3 linked regions of the Schizosaccharomyces pombe genome follow. Changing the gene in region 1 together with any one later gene gives a genetic interaction. Each region holds a gene or a part of one and is shown on either strand. Other genes may lie near its edges. The genes, in order: trp1322, apm1 and cis4.

The links.
Region 2: of trp1322 (region 1) and apm1, extra expression of one rescues a mutant of the other (dosage rescue), as found in Schizosaccharomyces pombe (one study listed by BioGRID).
Region 3: of trp1322 (region 1) and cis4, extra expression of one rescues a mutant of the other (dosage rescue), as found in Schizosaccharomyces pombe (one study listed by BioGRID).

What each region holds. Positions count from the first base shown.
Region 1 is NC_003421.2:1,280,874-1,292,311, reverse strand, and holds trp1322 (TRP-like ion channel protein), read right to left. Parts: upstream 4,423-11,438; 5' UTR 4,176-4,422; coding exon 1,587-4,175; 3' UTR 501-1,586; downstream 1-500. Other genes in the region: fyu1 (UTP-glucose-1-phosphate uridylyltransferase), read right to left, coding at 1-134; pxd1 (protein Pdx1), read right to left, coding at 4,907-5,962; rpm1 (3' ssRNA-specific 3'-to-5' exonuclease), read right to left, coding at 6,277-9,150; DNA replication factor A subunit Ssb3, read left to right, coding at 9,948-10,094, 10,158-10,260, 10,362-10,426; pdr16 (sec14 family protein), read left to right, coding at 11,413-11,438.
Region 2 is NC_003423.3:1,906,093-1,915,455, forward strand, and holds apm1 (AP-1 adaptor complex mu subunit Apm1), read left to right. Parts: upstream 1-4,048; 5' UTR 4,049-4,087; coding exon 4,088-4,149; exon of another isoform or gene 4,150-4,224; coding exon 4,225-4,330; exon of another isoform or gene 4,331-4,400; coding exon 4,401-5,048; intron 5,049-5,126; coding exon 5,127-5,591; 3' UTR 5,592-5,723; downstream 5,724-9,363. Other genes in the region: ubiquitin-conjugating enzyme Ubc7, read left to right, coding at 292-349, 399-652; ribosome biogenesis protein Yar1, read right to left, coding at 1,140-1,580; ribosome biogenesis protein Nop8, read left to right, coding at 2,040-3,476; fmo1 (flavin dependent monooxygenase), read right to left, coding at 6,044-7,387. UniProt on the Schizosaccharomyces pombe protein: Component of the adaptor complexes which link clathrin to receptors in coated vesicles. Clathrin-associated protein complexes are believed to interact with the cytoplasmic tails of membrane proteins, leading to their selection and concentration.
Region 3 is NC_003424.3:4,724,386-4,734,348, reverse strand, and holds cis4 (Golgi zinc importer, CDF family, Cis4), read left to right. Parts: upstream 1-5,007; 5' UTR 5,008-5,290; coding exon 5,291-7,489; 3' UTR 7,490-7,567; downstream 7,568-9,963. Other genes in the region: SPOM_SPAC458.02C (mRNP complex protein), read left to right, coding at 534-629, 750-923, 1,021-2,157; trm401 (tRNA (cytosine-5-)-methyltransferase), read right to left, coding at 2,354-2,411, 2,456-4,261, 4,307-4,429, 4,469-4,515, 4,566-4,598; DNA replication pre-initiation complex subunit Cdc45, read right to left, coding at 7,589-7,885, 7,927-9,546; pex7 (peroxin-7), read right to left, coding at 9,949-9,963. UniProt on the Schizosaccharomyces pombe protein: Probable zinc transporter involved in Golgi membrane trafficking through the regulation of zinc homeostasis.

The sequences.
Region 1 (11,438 bases):
TTTACGGTGCTAGCCAAGTGATTCAGCTCATTCTTCATAGTACTGGCAGCAATACTGGTAGCGGTGTTGTCAAAAGCAAAAGCCGATTGCGACTTGCTGTGCTGACGACCGAGGGGACGTGGTGCCAAATCCATAGTGCTTCTGTCTCTTTTCGAAGTTAAAACGTTCTCTTTAAACCTCTAAAACAAACAATTTCAATGTTTGTTATGATATACGGAGAGAGTAAGTTACAAGTAGGTGCTCGTTTTATATAGCGGCACTTACGTCACCTTTCCTGTCGACATTTGTTTAGATTACGTGTAAACAACAACCGACAATTTTCAACTTTGAGCATGGCCAAACGGACGATAAACGTTTGTTAAATCATACATGACATTAATAAATCTACAAAAAATTTCAATCTATTCCAACGTCGCATTCTAAAGGTTTATTGCGAAAAACATGCTTGCTGAACGCAAGTAAAATTTTTATTTATTTACAAATTTGTTTACAACAAGAAAGTGGGTTGTTATGACGGCGGAAATCAATTGGTGGGGTTTTCGCCGTACGTAAACAAATTATCAATAATCAATTACCGTGTTCCAAGGTTTTATACGTAGTTACCTAGGCAACATCGCAACAGCTATCGAAATCGAATGTACACGAAAAGTTTGGAAATATCCGATATAAGAATATTATTCATAAAGAGAGGTACTTAATGTAGACGGAAAACACCACTTATTAGCCGATGGAGGATGGAAAATGGCTCTAAAATATGAACATTATTAACTAACTATATGCAAAACGCAGTAGATCTCTAAAAATGAACCAACTAGTTAGTTAGTGTATGCAAAAAAAGGCCAAGGAAGGCGAGTAGAAATTCAAACAAAGGTTCTGCTAAGCAGAGCGAGGCGAAAGTAATATGGATTTGAAGTTGTCAGCAAAAAAACGAAAAACAAAAAAAAACGAATTATTAAGCAAGCTTCTTTAATGAAAAAAAACCTTATATAATAAAGAAATGTGAGTTAAAGAAAGTTAGCTAACTTGATAACTGAGAAAATGTAAGAACCATAAAAGGTTAACGAAAAAAGATTTAGGGAAAAAACGAGCATTAGATTGGTATGAAAAGGCAGGTGGATAATAGAAAATGCTAATTAAAATAAAAGGAACAACAACAACAACAAAATATACGAAATTGAACGAAAAAAAATTTCGACTTTAATGGGCTGCCGATAGAGCAAAGAAAGCACTTGTGCTATATTAAGACAACAAAAGTCGAGATTTTGGGATTATTAAATTTGGCCTTTAGTAAATGAAACTGTATGGGAGAGGAAAAAAAAATGCAAGCTTTAATGAAATGAAGTAGTAAGAGAGCAGACAGGTAAGAGAAAAAATAGGATTACCGTCATAATAGCGAAAAAAAACGTTTCAAAAAGAAACAATTAGAGGTTCAAAATGTGACTGAAATAAATTAAAAAAAGAATACGTTCCGTATTTCGAAATAAGAAACAGCAAAAGTAAAGTGTAACAATGAAAAATGAAAAGTGAAAATAAAAGAACAAAACAAAATTCTCACAAATCATAAACATTAACGAACGAAAGTGGAGTTATGGATGTGGAATCGACCAGGCTGACTCCGCTAATGAGTCATCGGTTTTCTTTCTCTCCATGGAGTACTGTTCATCACGGGAAGGCTCTATATGCAACTGAGGAAGAGGCTTTTGCAAATTTGGCCGTGGACGAGAACGTAAAACGACGAAACCTTTTTCAGATTCTTTCGGGGGGTCTGAGTGCCATATGGACTTAGCTGTTGATTGGACAATTTGCCACGCCCGTTGAAATGCATTTTTCGGAGGAGGTGGAATAGCAGTGGGCCTCATTTCAAATGGTTGCGAAGAGATTTGCGATAGACTGTCAATACTTGTGTCTACGTGTGGATGATAGACATCGGCCTCACGAACCGCGTAATTAACATCATGGCGTAGTAAATTAGGCTTGTTGTTTAAAAAGTCTAATTGTAAAGCACGTAGTTGATCCATGTCCCGTTTACGAACAGATGACTTTGGTTTAGGTGGACGGTAAAATGAATATCCTTGTGATGTGCTGTATGGAGAACTGGGAGTAACAGGAGAATCCAACATTAGACTACTTGAAGATGCTGTATTGTTCTTAGAAGGGACAAGACTCGACGCTTGCGTAACTGGAGGAATACAGTTAGTCTGAACGAATAATTTTGGCGGAGCAGCCTCGCCATCCTTCTTAAGGGAATTAGAACAAACGGAGACTGGCGTAAGTGGCACTGACATTTCATTTGAGTTGTAGGTAGAATGATCAAACATCATTGTGTTGCCATTGGAATATGGATCCTTAAGACGCCGGCGTCTCAATTCATTAATACCAAATACCCTGGCCCAACCAAATGGTCGATCGAGTGGGACACCTTTACTCTCACTTTTAGCACCTAATAACCGTGCACTGACTTCCATAAATCGTTGAGTTGACAGAAGTAAGAAAAGGATACAAACCATTATGTGAATAAACAAAATTGCATAGGCCAGTAAATCTCTACTAATGCCAAGAACCTTTAATCGAGGATCTAAGGGAATCATTAGAATAACCGTGATCAAGCGCATGGTAGAGATGAAGGTGTTTAACGTATTCATACTCGTCTGCGGGAAATGTGGTCGCACATAAGCATACGCCACGACATTAGCAACTTCAAGTATAAAGAATATGGCTAATTGTGCAGAGCCGGAACTTCCTATGACACCAACCGTAATACCACGCATAAATTGTACGGCAATTGGAAAGATCCAAAACATAACTCTCTCTTCTCGAAACGAATTGTATATAGAGCCAAATAAATGCAAATATGTTTGATCTTCAAGAAGTTTGGACGATGGTTCAACAAAAGCGAGATTCATATATAAATACACCGGAATAAAGATTCCAAAAAAGATAAACCACAAAACGGGGATAATTTCATAACCTGTGGGCGGTGCGACAAACTGGAATGACATATAAGCGACGGTAGGGAAATATGTCAAGAAGTAAAGACGTATCAGAGAACCAGCAATGAAGCTCCAAGTATCCCACCGAGTTTCGGCAATAGTTTCATTGAAAATTCTAGACATAAGCCATTTCAAAAAAATAACCAACAATGCTACAAATAACGCAGCAAATAAGTAAATAACCATGACTATAAGAAACGGAAGCCAGCATGCAGTACCTATTCCTATAGAATCGAGAAACGAATACATGCCATATGACTTAGGCAAATAATCCGCATAACTAGAGGATGCTACAGACAAGTCGGCAAAGTCTGCAAATTGATATTCAGCAGGCTCGGAGAAAATGGGAAATCGAAATAGAGCAGTGCCCCAAGAAAGAGCAGCCATAATATTTATGTAAAATTTTGGAAACATAACACTAACCTGAGCTGTAGAAACAGCAAATTGCAAGTATTGCACAAAATCAAAAAATCCAAGGGATGTTAAACGAAGAGCATCAGGGTCCATATTAAAATTAAAAATCGACTTAAATGGATCTAAACTGCCGGTCCATGGATTTAAAAAAAGAGCATAAATAATGGAAAACGAGACATATGCGAGCGACACAACAACCAAATATGAAATAACTGGATAAAAATAATACAAAGTTGTGGACAAACCAAACTTCATACAAGTTATTACATTTTTCTCGGGAGTACCGTCAACAACGATTACTCGCGTTGTTAATGTAGTCAATTCGTATTTTGAGTAATCGGACAAGGTGGATTTAAAGGGAACTTTAACCATGAAAGCGGCACTTCCAGCTGCCCAAGGACATTTTATGGGGACTTCAAAAGAATGAGGATCCATAACAACATCACAAAGCTTTGTGGTATTGGATGTGACCAGTTTTCCTAACGCATAAGTTTCCGAATAAACTGAAGCAGCGTGAATATGTGAGCCATTTCCACCCACAATCGTTATAACTCCGGATAAATTCCCCACTACTTGAATGTAGTACATCCGATTCACTTCATCAAAATTCTTGATAACTGCATATGGGCTAAAGGTAGGAATACCTGCTCTCGGTACAAAGTTTGAACAAGTCTCAAAATAATCCAAACTTGGGGATCCATTCACTGCTGAAAGAAGGCTGTAAAAAACGATATGAAGAAAGAGGAAAACAGAGTACGGGCGAGGCTTCATTATTATCCAAACACAAACATTCTAATAAATTTTAATATAAATAGATCCAACCTTGAATTCTTTTGATTCTCTATGAAACGAAATTTGAAAAAGACTTTAACTGCTCAGGGTTGGTAATTTGAGCAATTACAAATGCAGTTATTTAGAAAGAAAAGAAGGTTTCAAAAAATGAATGCTTTGTAAGATATAAGTAGGCCAGAGACGCGAAACACATAAATTGCTATTTCTCGTGTGTGTAGTTAATGACAAACACATGCTCTCGCGTTCCTTGTCCTAGTATTAGATAATAAAGATTAACTACGCAGCACGTTAGTGAAATTTTATGAAAAATTTCCGGCTCGTTAAATAAATAACATAATAATATACTATTTCGTTATTTTCCAAAGACAAATCTGCTCAAGAAAAGGTCCTAACATTAGCGCTTTATATGCATATATTATAAACCATACAGCGCTATTGAGATATAAAAAAAAACAAATAAGACAAGAAGAACTCAGTAACGTTCTCAAAGACGTTTAAAACTCGAGTCATAAAGTCCCTTCTGCTTTGGTCCTTCAAAATTAAGACAAGCTATCTACTCGTTATTTTTAGTTCTAACTTATCACATAAATATATACATTTAAAATTATTGAAATAATATTCTTGACTTGTTAGATATATAACGTACATTAAATCATCATTACGGGACCAGCTCGCCAAAAGTTTGCTATACTTAGTCTAACATAAATATTTCACTTTTCAAAATTTACGTTTCTTTCCTGAAGCCACGAGTGCAGAGTGTCCAAAGATACATAAACACCGTGCTTTAAAAGTATTTCGAGAAGGTCGTTTGAGGAAATACGTAGGGCATTTGAATTTTTCCATAAATAATGATACAACTTTTTTCCACCAGGGCTTCGAAAGAACGTTGAAATATTAGAAGAACACATTACTTGAGGAACCAGGAGATTATCAGCAACTTTCTTTTCATCGTGTTCGCAATTAACTATCGGATCGGACTCAAGGGTGGTAAAAGACTCTTCTCCAGAATCAGAGGTTGGAAATACCGACATACCAAAACAAGAACCAGCTTGTTCAATATCATAGCGATTATCATCATCGATACGGGTGCATACTCCTCTCAACATGTTTAACTCCCCACTTATCGAAGGTACTTGTTGGGACAATAAGTCACCCTCATTTCCAATTAGGTAATAGACATTAGTTCTAAATGATGATATCCATAAGTAAGGCGTAATTTGACAACCGATATTGCTGTGGTGGAACCCAGGTTCGACATTCATGAGTTCATCAGACAGAGGAAACTTTGGCTTATGCCTTTTAGCAATAGAAATAGCAATTTCTGGATGAACAACTTTGGACTTAAATTGTCTCTTACTAACACGAACTCTAGAATCTTCTGAAACAGAAGCCGTCATAAGTAACGGCTTTTTCTTGGGAATGGTATGGCCAAAGCTTAATGGGGTCAAGCTTTCTGAATGCAATTGATCAACGGAATTATTTTTTTCTTCAAAATATTTGGTAACTCTTGATGTAATACTGTTATAAGAAACCTTCGATTTAGAAGAACGAATGTGTGGTTTCTCAACTTTAGTAAAGTCATGAATATTAGCATTATCCTTTTTCAGGAAAGAATGCAGCGTTTTCTGTCGCGGTGCTGCATGGACTTTCATCTGGTATCGAAACCGCTGAACCTTCTCTGCAAAACTTTGCGCAGCATCATTTTCTTCAACATTAACGTCGTTTAAATTTAAAGAGGGTGCTGTTTCACCTTTAGATTCAATCATTTTTCTTAACTTAGATTTTAAACAACGCAGCACACTTCGTCGATGGATTTATAAGCATCCAAAGACATTTGCTTCTTGTCTTACAAAAAATAGAAAAAGAAAATATATTTTAATCACAAGAGTCAAGGTTAACAAAGAGACTTCATAGTAAAACTACCTGTTGGTTTTTGAGATGAGTTTTGGCGAAACAGGTTACTATCAAATCCCAAAACATAATTTATTTATATCGTTAAGTCTCGGTAAATTGATAAAATGCAGGATTGAGTATTTAATTAAGTAAAATTATATCCATAAAAATAGTTTTAATAAGTTTGTTAGGTCGCTAAAGCAACTAATAGGATATTAGACTCCGGAAAGACATCCTTAATTGTAAATGCCTGGCGAGTATTTGCTAACCGGAATGCTTCGTCCGGGAGAATATCAATATGCGCTTTAACACCCAATTCTTCCAACATGACCTGAGGTGTTGAAAGTTCTGAAACCATTAAATATCCATGATAAATATTTTTTTGTACCTTTGGAAGTCTCTCTATATATTTTAAGGCCCAGAAACGATTAATGTATCTTCCTATAGTTTTAATTGATTTTTCTTTTTGGTTGTACAAATTTAGTTTTCCACGAAGAATACCATCAGGTATAGTATTTTTTGGAGTCTTTAATAATACCGACTGAATCTGATGATGAGTGAAGAAGTCGGTAAACCGGCGTAAAGGAGAGGTAGACTGAATATAGCCATCCTTTAGCCCCAAAGAAAAGTGGGAAACAGGTGTGGAGGCTAAATGTGAACTTTCAAATAAAGGCATTACAGAAAGTGAATACTTAGTTTCAACGAGTCCCCAAGATGACCTGTTACTTAACAAAGTTTCAAACGCTTTTCTTCGTACACCATCCATAATTGGATAAGGCTGGCCCCTAAAAATCCCAGGTAATTTATGTTCTTGAAAAAATAATGATGAAACCCGGCCAGCCAATATCATGCACTCTGATATTACTGATTCTGCCAAGCTATACCCTTCACTAACGTTCAAACTAATTGTAGGGAAGGAAGACCAGTATACTGGATGATTCAGATCACCAAGATTATAAGGGACATTATTAGGCAGCAATTCAACTGTCGGAGTGGGTTGTGCAATAACAAACGCAAACTTTTGTAACCTAGAAAAACAGGCTTGTTTCGAAAGTTCATATATTCTTAATATATCTTTCATGTGATCATTTGATACTCCTTTTGTTTCCTCATCCACTGGTCCAGAAACGATGTCTTTCGCAATTGATCGATTACTATGCAAAGCTTTATCCAGTTGTTGGGGTGTGTATTTGATAACTGAGGAAATGAAGCTAGGCCGAACCTTGTAATCAAGTATATCGCCATTTTTTGAAATTTTAGCACTAAAAGTTAATGCTCTTTGAGCTGTAGAAGATGAATCTAAACTCCAATATTTCTGAGTGATATTGAGAGGTAGCATATACACAATTTTGTTGGGATGATAAATAGTTTGAAAGTTCCTTTCAGCAAACGTGCCTAAAGGACTGCGAATGTCAACTGTACTCGTAGGATTAGCAACATGGATATGAAGCCAGGAATTAGACATCCCTAATTCTTCAACCGAAATCGCATCATCTATCTCTTTCGTAGAAGAACTATCAAAGGCGAACGCTTTAAGATGCCTTAAATCGACGCGTTGCGATTCAAGTGAATCTTTTAATTCATTTTTTACAAACTTTTTAAAGTGATTACACTCACGTTCATACACAGCATCTAACTGAGGATTAGTACCAAGGCCAGCAATGCTGTATTCCTGTTGAAACAACCTCGGGGGCTGCCATGAAGCCCACACGCCAATATCCGTTAAGAATTTAGCAAACTGATCACTAGTTAATCCCCTCTCGTGAGTTTGAAGGCCAACTTCTTTGTAAACCTGACACAAGTGTGTATTTGGTAAACTTTGAATACTTTTTGCAATCATTTCCTGAACAAGATACCGCAATAGTTTTTTTTCAAATTCAGTCCAAGTGACCTGTGAATAAACTACGGGTTTTATTTCTTCGGTGCTTATAGGTAACTTATATTTATCTCGGGAAACTTGAATTAAATGACGAGCTTTCTTTATAAACGAAAGATATGGTGTTGATTTCTGACGCAGGCATGCAACAACGTCGTCAAAAGAATCATTTTGTGAAGAGGGAAGGAAATAGACTTTTTGAATTTCGGAAAATATGTGATCGCTTATTAAAAAATGTTTGCTTTCTGTAAGCAAAAAGTGTAACAATGAGATTTTAGCATATGGGCTAGGCTTCGAAGTTTTGTACACAAATTTCAAAAGGTCTGAAAAAGAAGCTGAATTGTCAAGTTTATTTGGAATATTGAATTCTGTCAATATTCGCAAAAATTCATTTCGGTGACTTCGACTTAAATCTTGTGCTCTTTGAGAGATTTTTTTTAATAACTTTATAGTGAAAGGTAGGACATCAGAAGGAACAGAAACATCAGAAAGAGGTTGCTGCACCTCTTTCAGCTTTTTAAAGACATTAGGACATCTCAGTAAAACTCTAGATGTACGAAATTCCTTAATAGTACCGTTTTCGTTAATGCTGGTCAATACATTACTATAGTTCCAAACATTAGTACCAGTGCATGCAGCAAGTTCAATGCCTTCGGAGCCCCTATAAAACACTAGCAAATCTCCACGATCGTACTGTCTAAAATTCTCACTGCTGAAATCTTCTAAATCAAAAGAATACTCAAAATCATTTTCCAACTTCTCTTCCTCAGATTTTGTAGTAGTAGGACAAACAGCAGCGCGTTTGTCCTTCTCGAACTTGTCTTTCAACCACTGTCTAATGTTTCCATGATTTTCTAATTCAGAGAAAAATTTTTTAAGGTTTTCCTCATTCACGGATTTCAAATTAGCATTTTTAAATCGATCAATAAGATCTGATTGAGTATGCTTCAAACGCGCACCACAATGTCCCCAAAGATGATGATCGTTTGCTGGTTGTTTCCCGAAATTTATTAGGCATCCAGTTATGCGGAAATATTTCAAAACTTTTGAACTGGAAGGGCAAGCATGATGAAATTTCCTTGTAAGTTTACAAGGAGACAATTTTAAAGACAGGCATACACGTTTTAATAAATAATTAGACTCTAAATTAACATTTTGAAGAAGAAACAATTGCCTATAGTTCATGGGCAAAAACCCTATAATTAGTAACACCAAAAATAGTGTTGATGGTAAATTCGACTAGAGAGCTGAACCAGAGCACTTTTAGGTACTAGCAAGTATTAAGGTAACAAGCTCTGCAAATGTAAATGAAGAGTGGTTTAATAACTAATGTAACAGAAGAAAGATTTCAATATGAGTATGGAGTTTTTTGATTTTTTTTTTTTTGAATTGAATGGTCGAGGGGATGGGCGACTTCAAAGTGAAATACATGAAATCACAACCTCAAGGTAAAACTAATTGAAAAATTATATCATTAAAAGAAGGCTGCTTTCCATCAATTACATTTACTTTTAATTATTGAAGCTTCTGGTCTACGCCTAAGCAATTTACTAATAGTGGTATTGGAAAAGAGAGAAAATTAAGAGTCGCCGACGATTTCAAAAATAGTATAAAATACCATGAAATCTTTCCATAATGTTATTTAAATCACTATATGTAAGACGTATTTATATTGGTCTTTAACCCGTTTATTTACAACATTTCAACCAATTAATAAGTAGTGAAATTAACGCAGAAGGATACAAGGAGATTTTTTTATGAATAATTCTTATAAAAAATAGAACAGTAATGTATCAACGTTAGCCCCCAGCGTTTATATTTACGCTTTTGCTTTTTTATTTACATCCCAGCGCCTTCCAACATATAATACATAACGTACTGCGTTCCAATATTTTAAATAATTCGTGTCAACAAGTAGTTAACTACCTGGTCTGATACATACTTCACTTCCACCACTTTATAAACAACGCGTATAAAATAATATGGAACGCCCTACACCTCGAGTTACGAAAGATATGCTACCAGAATGCTCTGGAAAAACGGTTCGGATTGTTGGCAAGGCGAATCAAGTTGAAGGTGAAACTGCAAAAGTCGATTCCAACGGTTCTTTCGATATGCACCTCACTGTGGTACGTTTTATCTATTTTACAATCGGTTTTCAGAGTTTTTTTATTTTATCTAACTAATTTTAGGATAACACTCTTGAACCCAATCATTTCTATGAATTTGTCGTTTCTGTCAAACCAGATTCTTCGGTGCAGCTTTTAACCTGTGTTGATTTTGGCACTGATATTGGTAAGTTGTGTTTATAAAAATAATAAGGAAGTCCTTTGAACTTCTGCTTCTGCTAAGTCCTACATTCTATTGACCGATTAACTAATTTCCTGTTCCTTTAGATATGGAGGTATACCAGAAACTCGTTCTATTCAGTCATAAGTATAACTCACTTTTTTTTGAATAAGAAACATTTTATGGATCATACAACACAGATTTCTCTTTCATTTCTCATGCACAGTACAAATAAACATGGAAGAATAAACGCGCAGAATCTTGCTTCCTTCTTTTGGTTTTTGCATATTTTATTGCATTTCTAAACTCAAGCTTTTCTTTTATAATGATTCTTCCTTTTGGCTAATACAAATATGAATTTTACTATCGTTTATTTCACTTTTTTTGATTCTTGTTTGAGTATTTTTATATAACGTTCTCCTTTTTTCGCACTATCTTATTTAGTGTATCCTTGAGATGCTCATCGCGGACGATTCGGCTCCGAAGACGGTACATACCGGTGTTTCTTACGTTTGCTCATCCTTCAGTCACCCTGCCATTGTAACAATCCAACTACCATATATATACAAAGCGAGCAACGCAAGTATATCTAGTGGTACTACGCTGAATATCGCTTATTCCTAAAGAAAATTGGTTGTTTTGAGAATTATTATATTACTTTTTCCTTTACAAACTTTTTTGCTAAAACTGTTGTTTAGCAGTTATTGAGATTGTTAGAGAAATAACGTTAGAAAACGTGCATATGCAGAAGTTGGATTGTTTCGGAATTGCTCCGATTGAAATACTCTAAATATATCTGACATTTGTTCTTTGCATTTCTGTCTGCGCCTTATCTTTAGAGATCAGACACGTTTCTTTGAATATAATCTAACTTGCTTGCATGTTAAATTGGTCGAAACAGAGATAAAAGATATCCTGGAATTCATGGTAAACCATCGAGATCTCTTACTAAAAATAGAGAAAAAAGAAAAGAGTTAAGTATTTCGAACCCTATAGTAATTTAAGTCTTGGGAAAATACCTTTTTTCATTTAATTCCATTATTTCTAATTTCCTTTGATATTTCTTCTTTTACGGTGAAAAGAATACCCTTTGCAATCTAAACTGTTAATAGTTTATTCAAAACCAACATTCGTTAATTTTATCGATACAAAACCACGATGAAAGATTCGGAACATCACCATCA
Region 2 (9,363 bases), on another chromosome or scaffold:
CGCGCTCTTTTTCATAAATTAACATTTGTTCAGCGTAAATAAAGAAAGTAACTCAATAATCCATTCGTTTAGAATGATCATTTAAGAGAAGTGCTTTTATTCATTAGTAATTGATGAATCCTTCGATTTATTGATGAGTAGGAAGAAATTTTATTTAAAAGATCTATCTAAGTTTTTTTTTGGGGGTTTGGTTTCTTTCTTTGAATCGCATGGCAGTACATCCGGGGTGTTCAAGCGCACGTTGATACGTGCTTAGTTTTATTTTTATTGGATTCTAACTTTTTTATGTAGGATTATCCTCTTGGCCCCCCTACTTTAAAGTTTGAGTGTGAATTTTTCCATCCAAATGGTATGCCAGATACTATTAATCCAAATTTCGAGACTAACCTTCATTTCAGTTTACAAAGATGGGACGGTTTGCATTTCCATCCTACATGCACCTGGTGACGATCCAAATATGTATGAGTCGTCTTCAGAACGTTGGTCTCCTGTTCAATCTGTTGAAAAAATACTGTTATCGGTAATGTCGATGTTGGCGGAACCAAACGATGAAAGTGGTGCTAACATCGATGCGTGCAAGATGTGGAGAGAAGATCGAGAAGAATATTGTCGTGTAGTTCGACGATTGGCTCGTAAAACCTTGGGATTATAACCATGAATTGTATATTTGATTAGATTGCCATGAATAACGAACCTGATAAAATCTAGAAATAAAGTTTTGTTCCATTTTTGAACGCAACCGGTAGGCTTTTCTCTTTCTATTCCAACGTATAACGCTACATAGGTTTAATTACAAGGTTTAAACAAAAATGAAAGCACTTTTCCAATTCAATTTCTATCTGTAAATGATGGAAGATAAACATTTTGTCTATTGAGATAATCCATCTTTTAATAAACATCACTTGAACTTTCTACACAGATACATGGCAACGTACATCGCTGAAAACGAATTATATTGAGAAAACATCTAGAAATTACACAGTAAAAAACTTAACAAAATATAAGAATAACCCCAAATTATGCTCCAAAAGAAAAAAAAAATGCATCAGGTGCATAAAAATATTAGCTTCCCACAACCTACAAAAGAAAGAGGTAAATTTTTTTACAAAATAAAAATCAGAAATTATCAAATAAAACGATCATATTCCATCTTCCAATTTTTCTTCATCACCAGTGTTTTCTTCACTACCTTTAGCAATCTCAAAATCCAGAAAAAGGTCCATTACTTTTTGCTGATTTCGAATATCAGCTTCATATATAGGTGACTTCTCATAAATATTCTTAATATGAGGATCACCTCCCGCTTCCAGTAGTAATTTGCAAATTTCAGCATGTCCATTCAGTGCTGCCCAATGCATTGCGGTGTTTCCACTCTCATTCTGAGCATTTATTACTTCTTTATTCAAGTACGGGATTATTTTTTGAACAACAGCGATGTGTCCATTAGCACTAGCCATATGAAGTCCAGAGTTACCATTTTCATCACGACGACTTAATTCTTGTGGACATTTCTCTATAATCTCATCTAGTAACTCCTCATCCGCAGCTCTACAAGCGTAAATTAAATCATCAACATCCATATTAAACTATCCAATCCAGTAAAGAAGGATGTTTTACCGGTTTATTTGGAAAGAGAATGATGTGAAAACTGTTCGTTTGTTAGTGTAAGGTAGCCGCGGCTTCTCCAACTTGGCTTCGGCAAGGCCGTGGTTACTTACTACACCACAAATTCCATTGCAATTTTATATAATTATTCAACGAGAACCTGCCTTCTACAGCAGGTTAATTTTTGATTTATAAGAAGGAGAAAAAGAAGTTACAGGAGTGTTTATTTCCGAAAGTCATAGAGATTTAAACCAGTATATATGCTTTCCTTGTAAAAAATTTCATTGCTCACACAGCTCTCGATTCCTCATCTAAATAGCTATCTGGTAGCGATTGGTAGACTATTTTTTCGGGTTTATTTCCCATTATATTTCAGACACTCTTTTTGACCTGCGAAACTTTTTGTCCTCATTTTGTATCAATTGACTTCAATAATGGAGTTAGAAAAACGGATTTATGTTGGTGGCCTTTCATCCTCTATTGAATCTTCAGATTTGGAATCCAGATTTTCTCGTTTTGGAAGTGTTTCAAATCTTGAAATTATAAACAAATCTACTCCAGTAGGAACTATACAACGATTTGCATACTTGAATTTTCGAACAGATGAAGATAAATGGCAGAAATGCAAGTCTTACTTATCAAATGCGACGTTTAAAGGAAGTAAACTTCGTATAGAGGAAGCTCGCCCTTATTATTTAGTAAAATTGCAGCAGGAAAAAAAAATTGCTGATCTTCAAAGTACTAATAATGATGAGAAAAATGAAGATCACTCCAGCAAAGTTGATCTGGAAGACCCAGTCTTTCATGGAGAAATAATTGTTCCCGGAAAACATAGTAAAAATATGCAGGTGGTCACGGATTCTGATGTTCGGAAGGATCCTCCTAGAAAAGGTTGGAAAAAAGGCCCCTATGGAAGGGCCATTGTCGTGCTTCGAATGTATAATAAAAATACTAAGAAAACGAGGTTTTTTTATCCGCTGGGTAAAAACTGCTTACAAAAACTATGGGGCCGAGTGGAAACGAATATGGACAATACTACAGCTTTTTATGATTCTGATCATGATGAGTATGTATCATATGGGGGTAAGAGAGCTTCTCGTGACAAAATACGTATGCAAGCAAAATTGGGTATCAAAGCTTCTACTCAGAAGGATGATAACGATTTTGAACTTCTTAATAACACAACTGGGGAGATTGAAGTCACAAAAGAATTAAACGAAGAGCAATTGGATGCTTTGCGAAAAAAAGATAAGGATACGGCTGCATCTGTGTTAGCTGAACTGTTTGGTTCTGAAAATACAGAAGAAATTGATACCGTATCTAAAACTTCAGGTGTTTTGGAACTGGACAATGATTCGACTAATAATTTCCAAAAAGAAGGTTTGGATGAACAAGATAATTTACAAAAGGAAGAGTCCGTACACATAGATGTTCCTGCTGAATTTGAAGCATTTGATGAGCGTACTGCTGTTGTTAACGTTGACAATTTAAAAGAAATGTTTTCTTCCAATGCGCAGGATACGTCTAAGTTTTCTCTTTTTGGCAATGAAAATGGAGTTGGTGAGGAAAGTGAAATGGAAAGTGAGATTGATGACCGTAATTACGAAACTATGGAAGAAGAGGCAGATGGGGAAACTCCGCTAGCTATAGTTAAAGCCTCATCGGGTACCAAGGGTTGGCCAAAAATGTTTACTCTACCCAATCCTTCTTCCCTATTCCAACCAGGTAATGAAGATTATACGAGCAGAGAAGCTCTTGAATCCTGGTGGTCGGAAAATCGTCTATTCTTAACTCGTGATTACAAACGAAAAAGAAAAGATGCCGTAAAAAGACAGCGAAGGGCTCATGAAAAGCGTATTCGACTTGTTTAAAGACGCGTATAGGTTATGTATTTATTGGGAATTTATTTGGGTATTTTAAGGTTACGAGGTATATATTGATTTTTTACACACTTTTGGAATCTTTACGTTGTTATTTCTCTATCCTTTTTATTTTAGAAAAAAATCTGTGTCTTTTTAAAAAGCCACGATGTTCACTTTGGTTTTATCATTGGTGAAAGTTAACAACTTTTTTCGTTGCACTTTCTTGGGATTTGTGGCTTTTAATATTTACAATGTTTGAGATCAAATTTTATTAAAATATTTGTTATTCTTATTGTTATAAGCCAAAGTTGTCAAATAAAACATACCGAAATTTTCTTACATTGTCAGAAAAATTATTTTCCTTTTCGGCATTTACAAAACCATATAATGTAAATTAGTTATAATTATCTGAATAGATTATCTTATAAAAGAAGACTGAATGTGTGCATAGAGTAGTAATTACTCAATATAAGAAGAATTTCGTACTATATGTAAGAAACAGAAATAGTGAATTACGCTGTATTACACTAGCGGTGCTTAGGCACGGTGATGAGGCAGCCAACAGTCAATGCTAGTTATCCAGAGCGAAACTAGCTGCCTTATTCGCGGCTTCTGTAAAAATGGCTTCTGCTATATTCGTTCTGAATTTAAAGGGAAAGGTAATCATTTCCCGTGATTACCGGTAGGCAATTTTGAAATCTGAATGAAAATCAGATTGTCGCAATTCGTCGACAGGTTACTAACAGAAAACAATTAGAGCTGATATCCCCATGTCAGTAGTTGAAAAGTTTTTACCTTTAAAATCAGAAGTTGAAGAAGAACAAGGATTCTCCACCCCTTGTCTCACTCACGAAGGCATTAACGTATGTAAAAGTTAGATATTATGAAAGCCAACAATTCTTATTTTTTTATGGTCGTACTAACACTTTTCAGTACATTTACATTCACCATAATGATGTCTACCTCCTTGCTTTATCCAAAATGAATTCCGATGCAATGGAGATGCTAGTATTTTTGCGTAAAATGGCGGACGTTTTTATAGATTACTTTAAAGAATTGCAGGAAGAGTCGATTCGAGATAACTTTGTTCTTGTTTATGAATTGTTAGACGAGATCATGGATTTCGGTTTTCCACAAACAACTGAAACAAAAATCTTGCAAGAATACATCACTCAAACCTCAAATACGGTAAAAAAGCATGCTCCACCCCCCATTGCTATGACAAATGCTATCTCCTGGCGTTCTGAAGGAATTCACTATCGTAAGAATGAAGTATTTTTGGACGTTATTGAATCAGTTAATTTAATTGCTGCTGCCGATGGTACGGTCATTCAAAGTGAAATCTTAGGAAAAGTTCGTCTCAAATGCTACTTATCAGGAATGCCTGAACTTCGTCTTGGGCTCAATGACAAGGTCCTTTTCGAAGCGGCTGGTCGTACCATTAAAGGAAACACTGTGGAAATGGAAGATGTGAAATTTCACCAATGTGTTCGTCTTGCTCGATTTGAAAACGATCGTACAATTTCGTTCATTCCTCCTGATGGCGAATTTGATTTAATGTCCTATCGCATGAGTTCAAATGTAAGTTATTAGTTTGTGCCTGTTCTTTTTATTCCCTCTCTCCTTTATCAACGTTTTCTAATATTAATTTCTCGTTAGGTACGGCCATTAATTTGGGTTGAATGTGAATCCATCGTGCATTCAGGTTCGAGAATTGAGTTTATGGTAAAAGCTAAGGCTCAATTCAAAAAGCGTTGTATTGCAAATAATGTCCAAATCATCATTCCCGTTCCGGAAGATGCTGACAGTCCTCGGTTTCAAACTAGCAATGGTCATGTGCAATATGCACCTGAACAAGCTGCCATGGTTTGGAACATTAAGAAATTTGCAGGTGGTAAAGAATTTTTCATGCGTGCTGAAATGGGTTTACCAAGTGTTAAAAATGAAGATATTCAAGTTCAGAAAAAACGTCCTGTTCAACTAAAATTTGCTATTCCCTATTTCACTACCTCAGGGATCCAAGTTCGTTATTTAAAAATCACCGAACCAAAACTTAATTATCATGCTATGCCTTGGGTTCGATATGTTACACAAAATGGTACTGAATATTCCATCCGTCAGTAAATGTTTCTAATGATGGTTCTCCGTTCCGTTCTTTTTTCTACCTTTAGATACCTTTCCCTTCATCTATATATTTGTTTTCTTAGTGTACTGATCCCATTTATTACGAAATGAAATCTTGTTTGCAGACGCGCTAATCCTTTTTCTTACTCAGCTGACATAAAAGGAGCATTTGCTTGAAACATAAATGTCTAAGTCTATTTATTGTATAAAGGATAAGTTCAATGTTTTTATTAAAACAGAAATAAAGATTTTCTAACATACAATTCCATTTACTCAGTAGTGAATCTCCGTGTATTAAAAATACATAAAAGACAGATTGTTCCAAACGGTTTTCTAAACATAATAAATTAAAAACCAAAAGCGAGAGAATGAGAGGGAGACCGGATAGTAAGAAAAAGATTGAAGGGAAAAGTTTAAAGGTCTAAGGGTGTAATGAGTTTTCAAGTACGTATTTACTTTGGAGGTTCAATTCCGAAAAACTTAGCACGGATGGACCACATGTTTTCACGGATGCTTCGTTCCTTCTCGCCCCAATACGGTGACGGAAACTCTTCTTCAAGAACAGGTGTAGCCTGTTTACACCAGTCGTGTAGCTTGTTAATGTAGGTAGCGTCTTTTGGATAATCCAAAGAGTGATACATATTATTTGCTCCACTCAGCGAAAACATTAATTCGTCTTGCCATTTCAGCTGCTCTTCTTTGCTGGGTAATTTGAGGCGACCAGACCAAACTCGCGCGAGGAACGCTGCCTGTGCTTGACTAGTAGGGAAAGGAACAACGTGTAGAGCTAAACCAACAAAAGCCAGAGTTGGATCGGGGATATAAAATATATGTTGATAGACATTGTGCACATGACTACCATCATCAATCAACTTGGTTTCAGGGGATTTCAACTTAGCCAGGGAAGGAAATGGTACGGAATACAAGTATCCGGTACAATAAATAACTCTGTCAATATTAGATAACACTTTTCCACCTTTCAAGTATATTTCCCTAGTGGTAGGATCGAACTTAGTAATTTCAGGTACTTGTTGCAACGATTCATTCTGTATGTCCCCTCCACCAAGAAGACTTTGATATATAGGGTGCTTAGCGACTGGCGTCAAGTGTCGGACGAGATCGTTTGCAGAAGAAGCACCACCAACTACAAGTACTGATTCACCCACGAATAATTCTGGTTCACGGAATAGCGATGAGTGTAGAACTGACCCCGGCACGGCTTTAGCGTATTCATCGAGACCTTTAATATTGGGGATATAGGGTACTTCATAATGACCATTACAAATTGAGACTGCATCAAAGATATCTTTACTAATCGGGCTTCCGGCTTTCGTTCCTTTGTATGTCACGACCCAGGAGCCATCCTTCTTTTCTATATCTAGGACATCGGTGGCTAATTTTATAAAGGGCAGCAGAGGTTGTGCATATATCCGTTGATATTCCTGAATGGTATGTCGATGGGGGAATTGAAGAGTTTGGGGTTTAAAGCTTTGATCACAATAACCCATCAACTCAATTGGGGTATTAGTTTGCAGATCACGATACAAAGGTGAAGGATACACAGGTAAAGCAGCTGGTCCGACAATGGGTTCGGTTGTTAAAATGGGATTTGTGCTAGGAACCGGTAACTTATTTGATAAAGTACTTGTATAGTTCCAAACACCACCCGGAGACCCCCTTCGCTCAAAAAGCGTGACCTGGTCAAACGCCTTTTCTGCTAACAGCGCTTTAGCCGTAACTAATCCAGAGGGACCAGCACCAATGATTGCAATTTTTCGAATTGTTGGAAGACACATAAGAACAAAAGAGAAAATGATAATTTTTTGATTAGTACCAAGTAAATTAAGATATTTTTTTTTCTGTACAAAGAATAACAGAATGAAACAATATCCAATTGTGAAGGAGTGTAATTGAATGAAAACTACACTTTATGTGCGTTTTATATCTTTGCACGTTCCGATTGTCCTCAATCTGCCAGGGGGCCTTGAAATCGCTGATAAAGCTATAGCTTATTGGCTAAAAAATAGAAGTGCTGGTTAGCGATACACATATTGAAGCCAGACACTATCTGTATATATAGTTTGTTATGGATTCAAAAACGCATCCGCTTTTCGCAACTTTAAACAATCTTTTCATCATACTCAATATTAAGCACGACTAAATTACAACATCCGATCAACATTTTAGTAATCCAAGTTCTGTTATAAGCGAGCCATATGACAAAAATGGGACATTTGAATTTCTCATTTAGAGCAAATTAAAATAATAAATGTAGTTTACACCTCTTGATGGATTTAATAATTAAGATCAAGCTGATATCCGAATGTAAATTTGACCTTGGCAACGGATTATCAAAGAGAAAATTTTTTTAGCGTCCAATGATAACAGCGTTTAAGAATTAGTTACTTATAAAGACCGAAGCGATCTTCCAGATAATGAATAGCAATACATTAGATGTGAACCTATTAATGTTGTTTAAAAGATCTAGTAAGGGCATTTTGAAAGGAAATCATGCTGATGAAAAAAAAATATATCTTTATCTTCCTAACACTTCTTGCAATGGCCATAAGAGAAAGTACGTCTCTGCTGCTCATACTTTTCAAGCATGTTGAATGCTTCAAAGTAAATGATTATAGTAATTTCCCAAATAAATATAGTTAGGTGACTTACTGACTCCGCCTAACGCGTAAGTTGGATTGTTGAAACAATTAAGCTCTTGCTGTTACAACGGTATAGCTTAATACCCAAATAATTACTTAAATGCTTTAAATCATCATAATACCAACAAACGTTCGTTTTTATAATCAGAGACAAGAAGATTTTAAGATTTGCAGGGAGGTATACTCATATATAAATTCATTGTATTTTAGAGTACTATCAATTATGTATCTCAAAGAGTATATAGTAATACATGAAATAAAAGTTTTTAAAGTTGAATTATAATTTGATGTTCTATAATTGGGGTGAATGCACCCTAATTGACAATAGAGAATTCTACGAAAAAAATCATGCATCCAGGATAGTCATATAGGATTTTGGTTAAAATTGGCAGCACAATATAGTTTTTGATGCAATTACAGTTAACATGCATAATACTTGTTTTGAAAAAAAGTTATGAATAAAAGCTCAATTGTAAGCACATCACAAAGAACGATTTTTAATCGTAATTGACGATATGTAATTTTGGATTTCATATAAAATTGTAACTACTTATTAAATGATCATTAGGGGAAATAGCGCACACTGTTTTATATCCTCTTCAAATTTACAAAATGAAATTAATCAATTTTAGCAATTTACCTATTTTATATGATTGAATTGAATTGAAAAAACCATGAGTTGATTATGACGCTGAAAGAAAGACATATAAGATCCTTAGGACACTACAACTCTTTCTACTTGAATGCGAAAGTGGATTGGTCTCACCAAAAGATTACCGTACACAAGAACTTCGGTGCTCTAGCAAGTTTTCTTTCAACCAGGGCAATTGCAAAACGAAGAAATTCTAGTGGTACACCACACTGTTAAAAAAAATTGACTAGCATATTAACATTGTTAGATTATTCACTTTTTAAATTTGGAAATACGAAGCTTCAAACATAAGCCATAATAAACACAGTGAAGGCTTTAGCATTAAATTTATTAAAAACACTGCTTAGCAGTTTGTAAAGTCAAATGTTTGCTATGAACATTTTGAGTAAAAATATAACAAAGATTTATTCTTTTCTATACAAATCAGAAAATATATAAAAACAAAACATATAGTGAAATT
Region 3 (9,963 bases), on another chromosome or scaffold:
ATCCTGTTGCTTTATAAGACTAGTTGCAATATTTCTATTTGCTTTTAAAAAGCAAGTAACTTTTAGTTTAAAACTGTTTTTGTGTACCTCCCAAATTAAATGTTAATGCTCCGCTAATCGGTAAGCTAATCCGTGAGAAAAAATGCATTAATTTTTCTTGTTTCGTTCAAGTCAACACATTGCAAATAAAGGTCACTAAATTTACAATTCAGGATTTTTAAATTGAAATATTAAACATAATACGTGGACGAGTGCAAAAAACTACCAGTTTATTTAAATAAATAAAAAAAAAATATCATAACATGTATTATCGTAATCTTTTCCTTAGACTGCTCTTCACACGATGTCTGAATAACCGTCAACAAAAAGCTATTTATAAAAATTTCAGAAACAGGTAGTCTCCTTCACAGCACTGCGAACGAAAACTCTAGGGAAGCAAAACAAACGGAGTTTATCTGCCTTGTTATATACTCGTTAAACGACAACTCAACACACACCACTATCCACCACCAACAACAAAATCCTTAATAAAAATGTCATCTCATAAACCCGTTCGTCCTAATGAAGCTCTTCACAAGGAGGCTTTGGAGGAGCTTGATGCTAAGATCAACGAGGCGAAAAAGCGTTTCGTAAGTAGTTTTAAATTCTTGAATATTGAAGGCTAAGCTTTTTTTTTTTTTCATAACTATGAAAGCTTCAAAAAATCACTTGTTTCTTATATAGTTTTCGCATCTTAACTAATCAACTAGAATGAGCATAAGGAGAAGCTTGGTGCCATTCGCGGTGGTGGTTCATTGCAGGAGAAGAATGCAGAACTTCGCGCTGAATTAGACAATATTCGCAATGCTCAAGCAGCTATCCGTTCTTCTAAGCAAACTCTCATCAACAAAGTCAAGGCTCAAGATGAACTTTTGAAAAAGAAGGTATGTTTTGCATTAATATATGTAAGCACTAAAGTTTTGTGTTGGAAAACTTTATGAGCTTGGTAAAGAAACAAAATGTTTACTGACATACTTTTAGGTTAAGGAGTTGACTGCCATGAAAAAAACTGTTCCTTTCAAGTCAGAAGTGGAGCTTGATAAACATGTTAAACAACTTCAAGCCGCCGTTGACTCAGGAACTTTAAAGATTGTTGATGAGAAGAAATACCTGCGTGAAATTTCTCAGTGCAATCGTACTAGAAAGAGCTTCGTTGAGTTGAACGCTCTTCAAACTAGTATTGATACGATTAGAAATGAACTTAACGAGCTTCGTGATCAACTTAATGATTCAGAATCAAAGAAGTTGAGTGACAAGTTCGTAGAAATCCGTTCTGAGCTTGATGAGGTTCGTAAGCAACAAGACGGTTACTATAAAGATCAGCGTAAGCTCATAGCAGAAAGAGATGATGAGAAGACTGCACTCGATGATCTATATAATCAACGAAGAGCTTTACAACGTGAGTACGATACCCAATTGCGCGCATTCCGTACTTATGAACGTGAACAACGTGCCAAAAGACAAGAACAGTTTCGTCTTGAGCGTGAAAATCGTGAGAAGGAGAAGAGAAGAATTGCTGCTCAACGCAAGTTAGAAGAGGCTAGTATTCCTGCCTTTACGGAAGAGATTCTTGCCTGTGAAAACTTATTAAAGGTGTTTCATGTTCCCGTCGAATCTTCTACTACAAATGCCGTTTCAACCGGAAATACTTCTAGTAAAATTTTGAAGCCACGAACTTTGACTCCTCGCACTGTGGATCCAATTCCTGAAGGAACTATTATTAAGAAAGAGTCTTCCGATGATGCCATGTTTAGCGGACTTAAAAAATCGAAGCCCAAAAAATCAAACAAAAGCAACAACAATCAAGCCGATTCTGATAGACTCAATCTTTCTTTTGGCACTATTAAGGAATTCGATTTTGTCGGTGTTCCTGCTCCTTTCACTAAGTCTCAAGTTGATTCAGCCGTTGAACAACTTAAGTCACGTATCGCCCATTTTAAAGAGCAGCAAGACTCTGTTACCAAACAACGTATTGAGAAAGCCAAGCAGGAAATTGAAAAACTGGAAGCTAAATATAATTCTAAAGAAGAAAAAACTTTAACTGAAGCTGATATGGTTATATCATCTGAAGAAACTGTGACAGTTACTAATGATTTGGAGGTGGAAGCTACAGCTTAAAGTTATTGAGGTTGTAGCTAATTCTTATATCTCTGTCATTAAGTTTCTTAAGTGAATTGGCTGATGACTTTAATAGTTTTGTATACAATCATTTTGAATTGAGAACATTCAAGTATTCCCATTATTTCTATTCAGAAACTTTACAGTATATTTATATAAGTATTTTGTCTATCCTCGTAGTATTGACACTTCAGGTTCAAGTGTTATGTTTGTGTATTGAACTCTGTGGCCCTTCTATCTGTAATTTTAATGTCCTGTTTTGGTTAGAATAGGTTCTGCGTATATATCATGTTCTTACCTTTTTTCTGAATTCGATAACAAAACGTTGCAAATACGCACACTTTTCCATAAAGGTATGTAGACTTGCTTCTTTATAACGCTTTCTTCTTTTGCCAAATCAACATGGAGTAGAGTGCTTCCAAGATCCAAATGGTTATATTCTTTCCTGAACAAACTGTCTTCAGGAAAATCGTCAATGGTCACGGCTTCATGGTCTAATAAAATGAACAAATCAGATAATGTAGTATGAAACAAACAGCTTTCAGCGATAAAATGAGAAGCAAGATTCGCTCCATCGCTTTGAACTCGAAAAACGCAAGTACCGTTTTTTTCTGCTATCTCTCTTGAAAGACTTCCAAAATCTTGTCTCACAAAAATTTTGAGACCACCATGCACGAATTTAACACGATTACGATTGTTCTCAATTACGTTTCTGAAAAGATCGTTGGAAATATAAATGGCTTTCGTAGGGACACCATTGACATTTCTAACGAAAAACTGATTCTTCTTTATGATAGCTTCATCAATGCCAAACTTCTTATAGATTTTCTCGAGAGCTTGATCGTCCTCTTTTATATACACGAAAGGATCCAATTCGTGAAATCGATTGCCCCCATTTTTTCCTTTTGGTTTAACTTCGGCTAATTTTGAATCCGAAGATGTTTCTTGAGTATCTTGTTTACGTTTTTTTGATGCTTGTTCACTTGGCAACTTTTGTTCTCGTAAAAAAACCTTGTTATCGTCGACGGCAGTTTTCATAGAGCTAGTAAGATTTTCATATTTTTCTAAAACTGCAACAAAAAAGCCTCCAGTATTTTGGAAATGTGGATAAATACGTAAGCAATTTTGAATATTCAGCTCAGCAAGTTCTTTCTTTGGTAGTGGCCATAAAGTAGGAGGCATTTTTTCGTAAAGCTCCTTTGGCAAGGTATCAAATGAAGGATAAATATTTAGATCGGAATCACAAACTACCCAGTTATCAACACCTTGACTACGTTTTAACTGAGGAAGCTCCGAACTAACATCCACCAACCTTACAGAACCTCGGGTAGCATTCAAGACAGCAGAAACCACTGCCTCATTTTCAATTGGATTTAATGAACATGTTGAATACACCAATCTTCCTCCTTTTTCCAACAGTTGTAAACCTCTCATTAAAATCTTAATTTGTGTCGCGTGAAGCCCTAAAGCTGTTTTCAAAGACCACTCATTCCATAAAGCAATGTTTTTTCTAAAGGTTCCATCTCCAGAGCATGGGACATCAGCAAGGATACGATCAAACTTAAGGAACTTTTTACCGTCGGGAGAAGATAGATGGAAATTCGGCAAAAAGGAAGCATCGTGATTAACAATTAACACATTTGGAGAATTTAATCGCTTAATCTGATGTACAAGCATATGCGCTCTTTTATTGTCACTATCATTTGCAATAACAATTCCTGAAGGCAACAAAGTAGTAATATCTTCTTTCTTAGTTGGTTTGTGAAGTGCCTCGAGTAATTGAGCTGTCTTAGAACCAGGCGCCGCACACATGTCCAAAACTTTGTGGTGACTCTCTACATTAAGAAGTAATGGTGGAACCATACTTACAGATTCTTGCCTGTTTATGTCACCCGCTTCTGTTTCAAGTACAAGAAATTCTTGAAGTGCCTTGAGATGAGGGCTTTTTCGAATAACTTCCTTAGAAATGTCCAGCATAAAAGCCATTCCATCAGGATACCATGGAAGTGAAACTGGCAAGGGGATTTTCGCATCCTCAGTTCTTGCATTCTCAATGAGTGGATAGTAGTGTTCTATAAAATAATCACGAACTTGAGTAGCATGACTTTTAAAATGATTAGAAACAAAAAATAATAATGTTTTTACTTACGGAATCGATGCAGTTATTCGAAATGTTGTCGGGAGTTGTTCAGTAAGCTTTTGCTTTAAAAGGATAAAGTCATCCTCCGTCACTAATTTCTGAAGCCTGTAGTACTTTTCAAAGTTTTCATTTCTATCTAGTAAGTAAACATAATCTGAAGTCATGACTCACTTTCTCTCAATTAAATCCCAGTTTACAAACTCCCCTTTTTTAGACCTCTATTTAATACACATTAGTAAGATAAAAAATAAATTAATTTCGTACTAACATTTTTTTTACTAGAATAATGCTTACGACCCATCTTAAACTCCTCCTTTTCCTTATCAACGTATCGAGTTGGTACAAGACAAGCAATTTTCAATGCTGGATAGTGCGTATTTTGTTAGCAGATTACAAAATTACTTTGACCTATTTTCAAGGAAAAAACTCTCAAAAATATTTTATTGAATTAACAAGAAGTTATATTGTCTGCTTTGCGACATTTTCTACAGATCTTGGATAACTCAAGAATTTACGAATATTGCACATTGTTATTGTGGATTTGCTTCGCACCTAAGTGAGATTATGAGGGGTTGTACATGAATTACTAAAAATGAAACTGTACGAGTGCTTACTTTTAAACATCAATCTTATATTATCTTAAAATCTCGAATGTATAAAGACTGTGTTTGTGTTGGTTGACTTAATTTAGCGTGTTAGGTCTTTTTGACAACTACAACCATTTCATGTTCGATTTAGAATATCTCAAATTTAGTTAAACAGAAGTTTGACTATAAGACGCTTTTAATAACTTTCAACGTTTGATTTTAAATAGTTAAGACCACTTATTAACTTTGTCAAATTAACTTAATGCACTTTCACATCCAACTCAGGATTTAAATTTCAAAACAGGATTACTCTTTATTTTGTTTTCTTTATTCTTTAGTTAAGTTTTGTTAATCATTCAATTTTTTAATAGTCAACCACAGCTTTTGGGTGTTCCTGACGACAAAAATGAATGTTAATTCTTCTGCGTTCGAGAGAACCAATAGGTTCCCTTCTTTTCCTGTTTTAAAAGACGACCAAAAGACAAGTTCTGATTCAATTGCTGCAGCTAAAAAAAAAGATTTGTTATCGCTCATTTCGAGTAAATCTTTGCTATCATCTGAAACACTAGGATGGTTTTCTGTAATTTGTGCATTCTCCATTACTGGTTCTGGTCTTGAAGTCAATACCATGTCGATTCCATTTTACCTTATTTTTGGCATCTTTGCTTTTGTCAGCTTTACTACTCAATATTTGGGCATCTATTCATTTTCGTTCCAACCTTTTCAGTTATTAAATGTAATAATCGCTTCTTTATCGATGGTATTCATAACTTTAGGTGCCTTTGTACTTGGAACTCTAGACACGACTTGTTTGTTATTGCTAGCTTTCAAATTATTTTTTATTCGTAACGATCCTACACCATTTAATGCCAGATCTGCTAATTTGAAGAACTATATAGCATTTCCAATATGTCTTTTTGTCATTAATCATATCCTAATACTGTTGGGTTATTTCCAATGTTCTTATTCCGTTTTTTATGCCAGCGTTTTTTATATACTTCTTGGTGTCTTCATTCGAGTCTTTTACCTTGTGAACAAAGAGAAGTTTGAAAAGAAGGAATTGGCATTCCTTTTTTCTTCTATCGTTGTGGCTTGTCTCATTCAATTTAATGTCCTTCCGCTTGGAACAATCAATCTATCAGTCACTCGTTTTACCATTCTTTGTTTTATGCAAATTTTTTGCATCAATTGGGATGGAATTGCCAGAATTCAATTTTACTTGGGAAAATTCGATATTTCTTTAATTATGGCCCTAATTTCTGCCATTATTAACAAGACAGCTTCTCAAAATTCTATCAAGATCATATCATGCCTCTATCAAGTAGGATTTTGCTTCTTTAAAATTGGTTCTTCTATAACAGCAAACTTGAAGCTTCCTGACAACAGCCGTATTTACCGACTTTACAATGATTTCATAGTGAATGGAGTGCTTGCCGATAAAGAGTCAAGAAGCATATTTTATTTCTTCCTTTTAAATGTTTCTTATATGTTTGTGCAAGTTATTTATGGTCTTTGGACAAATTCTTTGGGGCTTATTTCAGACGCAATTCACATGGCTTTTGACTGTATTGCTATTCTTGTCGGTTTAGTTGCTACGACGCTTGCCAAGATGCCTCTAAATTATGCTTACCCCTTTGGATTTGCAAAAATTGAGGCTCTTTCGGGTTTCACTAATGGTATTTTTTTAGTTTTGATTTCATTTTCTATCGTCGGCGAGGCATTATATAGGTTATTTCATCCGCCCCAAATGAATACCGACCAATTGTTGTTGGTTAGTTTTTTGGGCCTTGTTGTGAATTTGGTAGGTATCCTAGCGTTCAATCATGGGCATAATCATGATCATGGGTCTCATCACCATCATTCCCATAGTAATCATAGTATGTGTCTGCCTAACACTACAAATGATATAAATATTTTTGAAGAGTTTGAAGAAGAAAAAGATAATGTTGAAGCCCAGAAAATGGGCTATACGAATGACGATCACGTATCCCAACATGAACATACCCATGAGAATAGTCAGGAACATCACCATGAGCATAACCACAATCATGATCACATCCATAAATACAATGAAAAATGCGACCATGAAAGCATAAGTCTCCAGAATTTAGACAATGATCATCACTGTCATCATCACCATGAAAATCATAATATGCATGGCATATTTCTGCATATTATCGCAGATACTATGGGCTCTGTTGGAGTTATTGTCTCTACTATATTAATACAGTGGTTTTCATGGACCGGTTTTGATCCTTTGGCATCTCTAATAATTGCTGCATTAATATTTGTTTCTGTACTTCCATTAATTAAAGATTCGGCGAAGAATTTGCTCTCTGTGACTGATCCAGAATCGGAATATTTATTGAAGCAGTGTTTGTCGAACATCAGTTTAAGTAACTCCGTTATCAGTTTATCCAACCCTAAGTTCTGGACAAACGAAAGAGGTGAAGTGTATGGAATACTCCATATTCAGGTGAGCATAGACGGTGATTTAAACGTGGTTCGTAATGAAGTATTTAGGAAGCTCTCAATCGCTGTACCAAATTTAAAACACATTTGTATACAATCTGAACGGCCAAACAATTGCTGGTGTGGAAAATAGTTCTTACATCAGTTGATATCCATACTTATTTACGTGTAATTTTAATTAGATGAATTAATATTTTCTTTATTAGCAAAATTCCCATTATTTACCCAATCTTTATAATAGTGTTTTGAAGGACAGACTTTCTAAAAAAACCCCGAGGTCACTTTTTTGACACTCAATCACACTTGCTTCAAAACAGTCCATTTGCAAAGTAGCAGATGTCATGTTTGCAACCTCTTGAAATGCAACTCCAAAACGATTGTGTCCATGACCGTCGTCATCATCGTCATCTTCATTGCTAGTAAAAGCGGAAGTAGAAGTTCCAACTATTAAGTACCTATTTTTTTCCTCTACAAAAGCTGCTAAAACAAGAGGAAGATGTCTAAGCTTTCCAAATTCTCGTTCTTGCTCCTTCAAGTGTTAGTCAAACGTTAAAATCAATAGACACTTACATTAATAGCTTCAGCAATCCAAAGACTCATCTTTGTTAACGCAAGGGGATGCATAAATATTTTCAGATCTGGTCCTTCGTTGATAAGTCCAAAACGAAAAGATCTCAACGTTTTAATGGCTCTTTTTTCAAGTAAGGTGATTCCAGTACGAACAATGGCTCTTTGTAAGTGCATTGCTAACTTCAATGCTCTTTCTAATGAATCGACATCGTCCAAGGCGTCGTATGCATCATAAAAATTGTGCAACCATTCTTGATTTTGAGCATTTTCAAACTTCTCCAAATATTCTTCCTCCGTCATATCCGGGCTTCGAGCGACAGTTTTGCTTTGAAGCAAAACACCTGTATTACCCATTTCTAATAATGCACTGATAGCATAAGAAACGTCACTTGCACTAAGTGTACATTTGAATCCATAAGTCCGAGTAAAACTATGGAATATCACATCGTCTAAACCATAAAACGGTGCAAATCTTTTAAGACTACTTTTCAAAGTTTTTTTTAAATCCATGTTCATGTGAATATAAGTTTGTTTACACTCCACCAGACTGAGTCCCATTTTTGCAAGAAGCTTATGTAGTCGTTTGCGTCCTTCCTCGCTCCAAATGTGAAGTCTCGAACCAACGTAAGCAGAATGAAGCATAGAATCATAAAGACTCCAATGTCTTACTAGCATAAAACGAAATTCATCTTCAAGCCGAATTGACTGATCATGGGGTGTCTTACCATGTGCGCGACCGACTATTTGATTTTCAAGTGGTGAAGGGTTCAAGCGATTGACTTCATCTTTCAATAAAGAATAGGACCTATTGAAGTATTTTTTTGAGGATTGGCAGTGAATTTCCAAGCAGGTGAGCCCAACAATCGCTAACCACAACATGTCATTATCCTCACGTCCAAGCATGGATGCTACTGCAAACAGGATATTGGTAATTGACTCGCCGTACCAACTTCCTTTCTCATAATATTCAGAAAGGATAGAGGCGAACTCTTTCCGTTTTTTCCTTTTCTCCTTAATTTCAGCTCGACGTTGCGTCGTTTCCTCTGAAAAACGCCTACGACTTCGTGCTTGATAATCGGATGAGCTGTAAGATTCCACAGATCGGTTGTCATCTTCGACTTCCTCCTCTCGCTCATTACTGGAATCGGAATTTTCTTCATCTGATAGCTCATGCGAATTAAATGCATACCAAGCATCATGAATTTTATTCATGTCTTCTTCAATATCTCCATCGTCGAAAACAAAAATATTGTTTTCAATGTATATATTATTTAGATTATGCGGCCTATGAGAATCAATTACATAGATAGATACGTCTTCCATAGAAACAAGATAATTATTTAGATCCACCATCGTTCCACAATTCAAAAGTATAATGAATTTGATATCTTCATTTTGCTCTAGCAAAGTTTTATTTGCTTGTTCAAGGTCTCGATAGCCCGATACAGGCCTAATTTTATGTGAAATAAAATCGCCTTTCAAAAGTGTGGACAATAGCTTGCATGCACAAAGCGCGTCTGGGTCTAAAGCAACAAAGAGCTGAACTGTGCATCCACCAGATACACTTGCTTCTTTAATTTTCAAGTAAGCAGAGGCGTAATCGGATCTCTTGATGAACATTAATAAATAAACGTTACTGGTGGTGGATCATGGAGGAAATTACCAGGTGGTCAGTACAAAGGAAGGTAAAGCACTTTGAGTCGCTTTATATTTCCTAAACAATAGCGCATTAATATACAAGTCAAAGCTACGCAATAGTAGTTACAAAAAAAAGAAATTTTTGTAGGCATTGCAAACAACCCTTTCTCATTTTATGCCAAATGCCAAAAATCATATTATAATTACTCTAGTTACTAAATTTTTCACTTGAGCTACCTAAACTATCGTAAAAATAATTTGTAATCGCTGTTTTCTGGTGATATAATCCAAGGTGAACATGTGCACAACGAATTTATTCCGAGCGTTCGAACATTTCGTCTTTGAATCAGTGTAATAAAATCTTAAATTAAAAACAGCAGCAACTTAAAATGCGTTCCA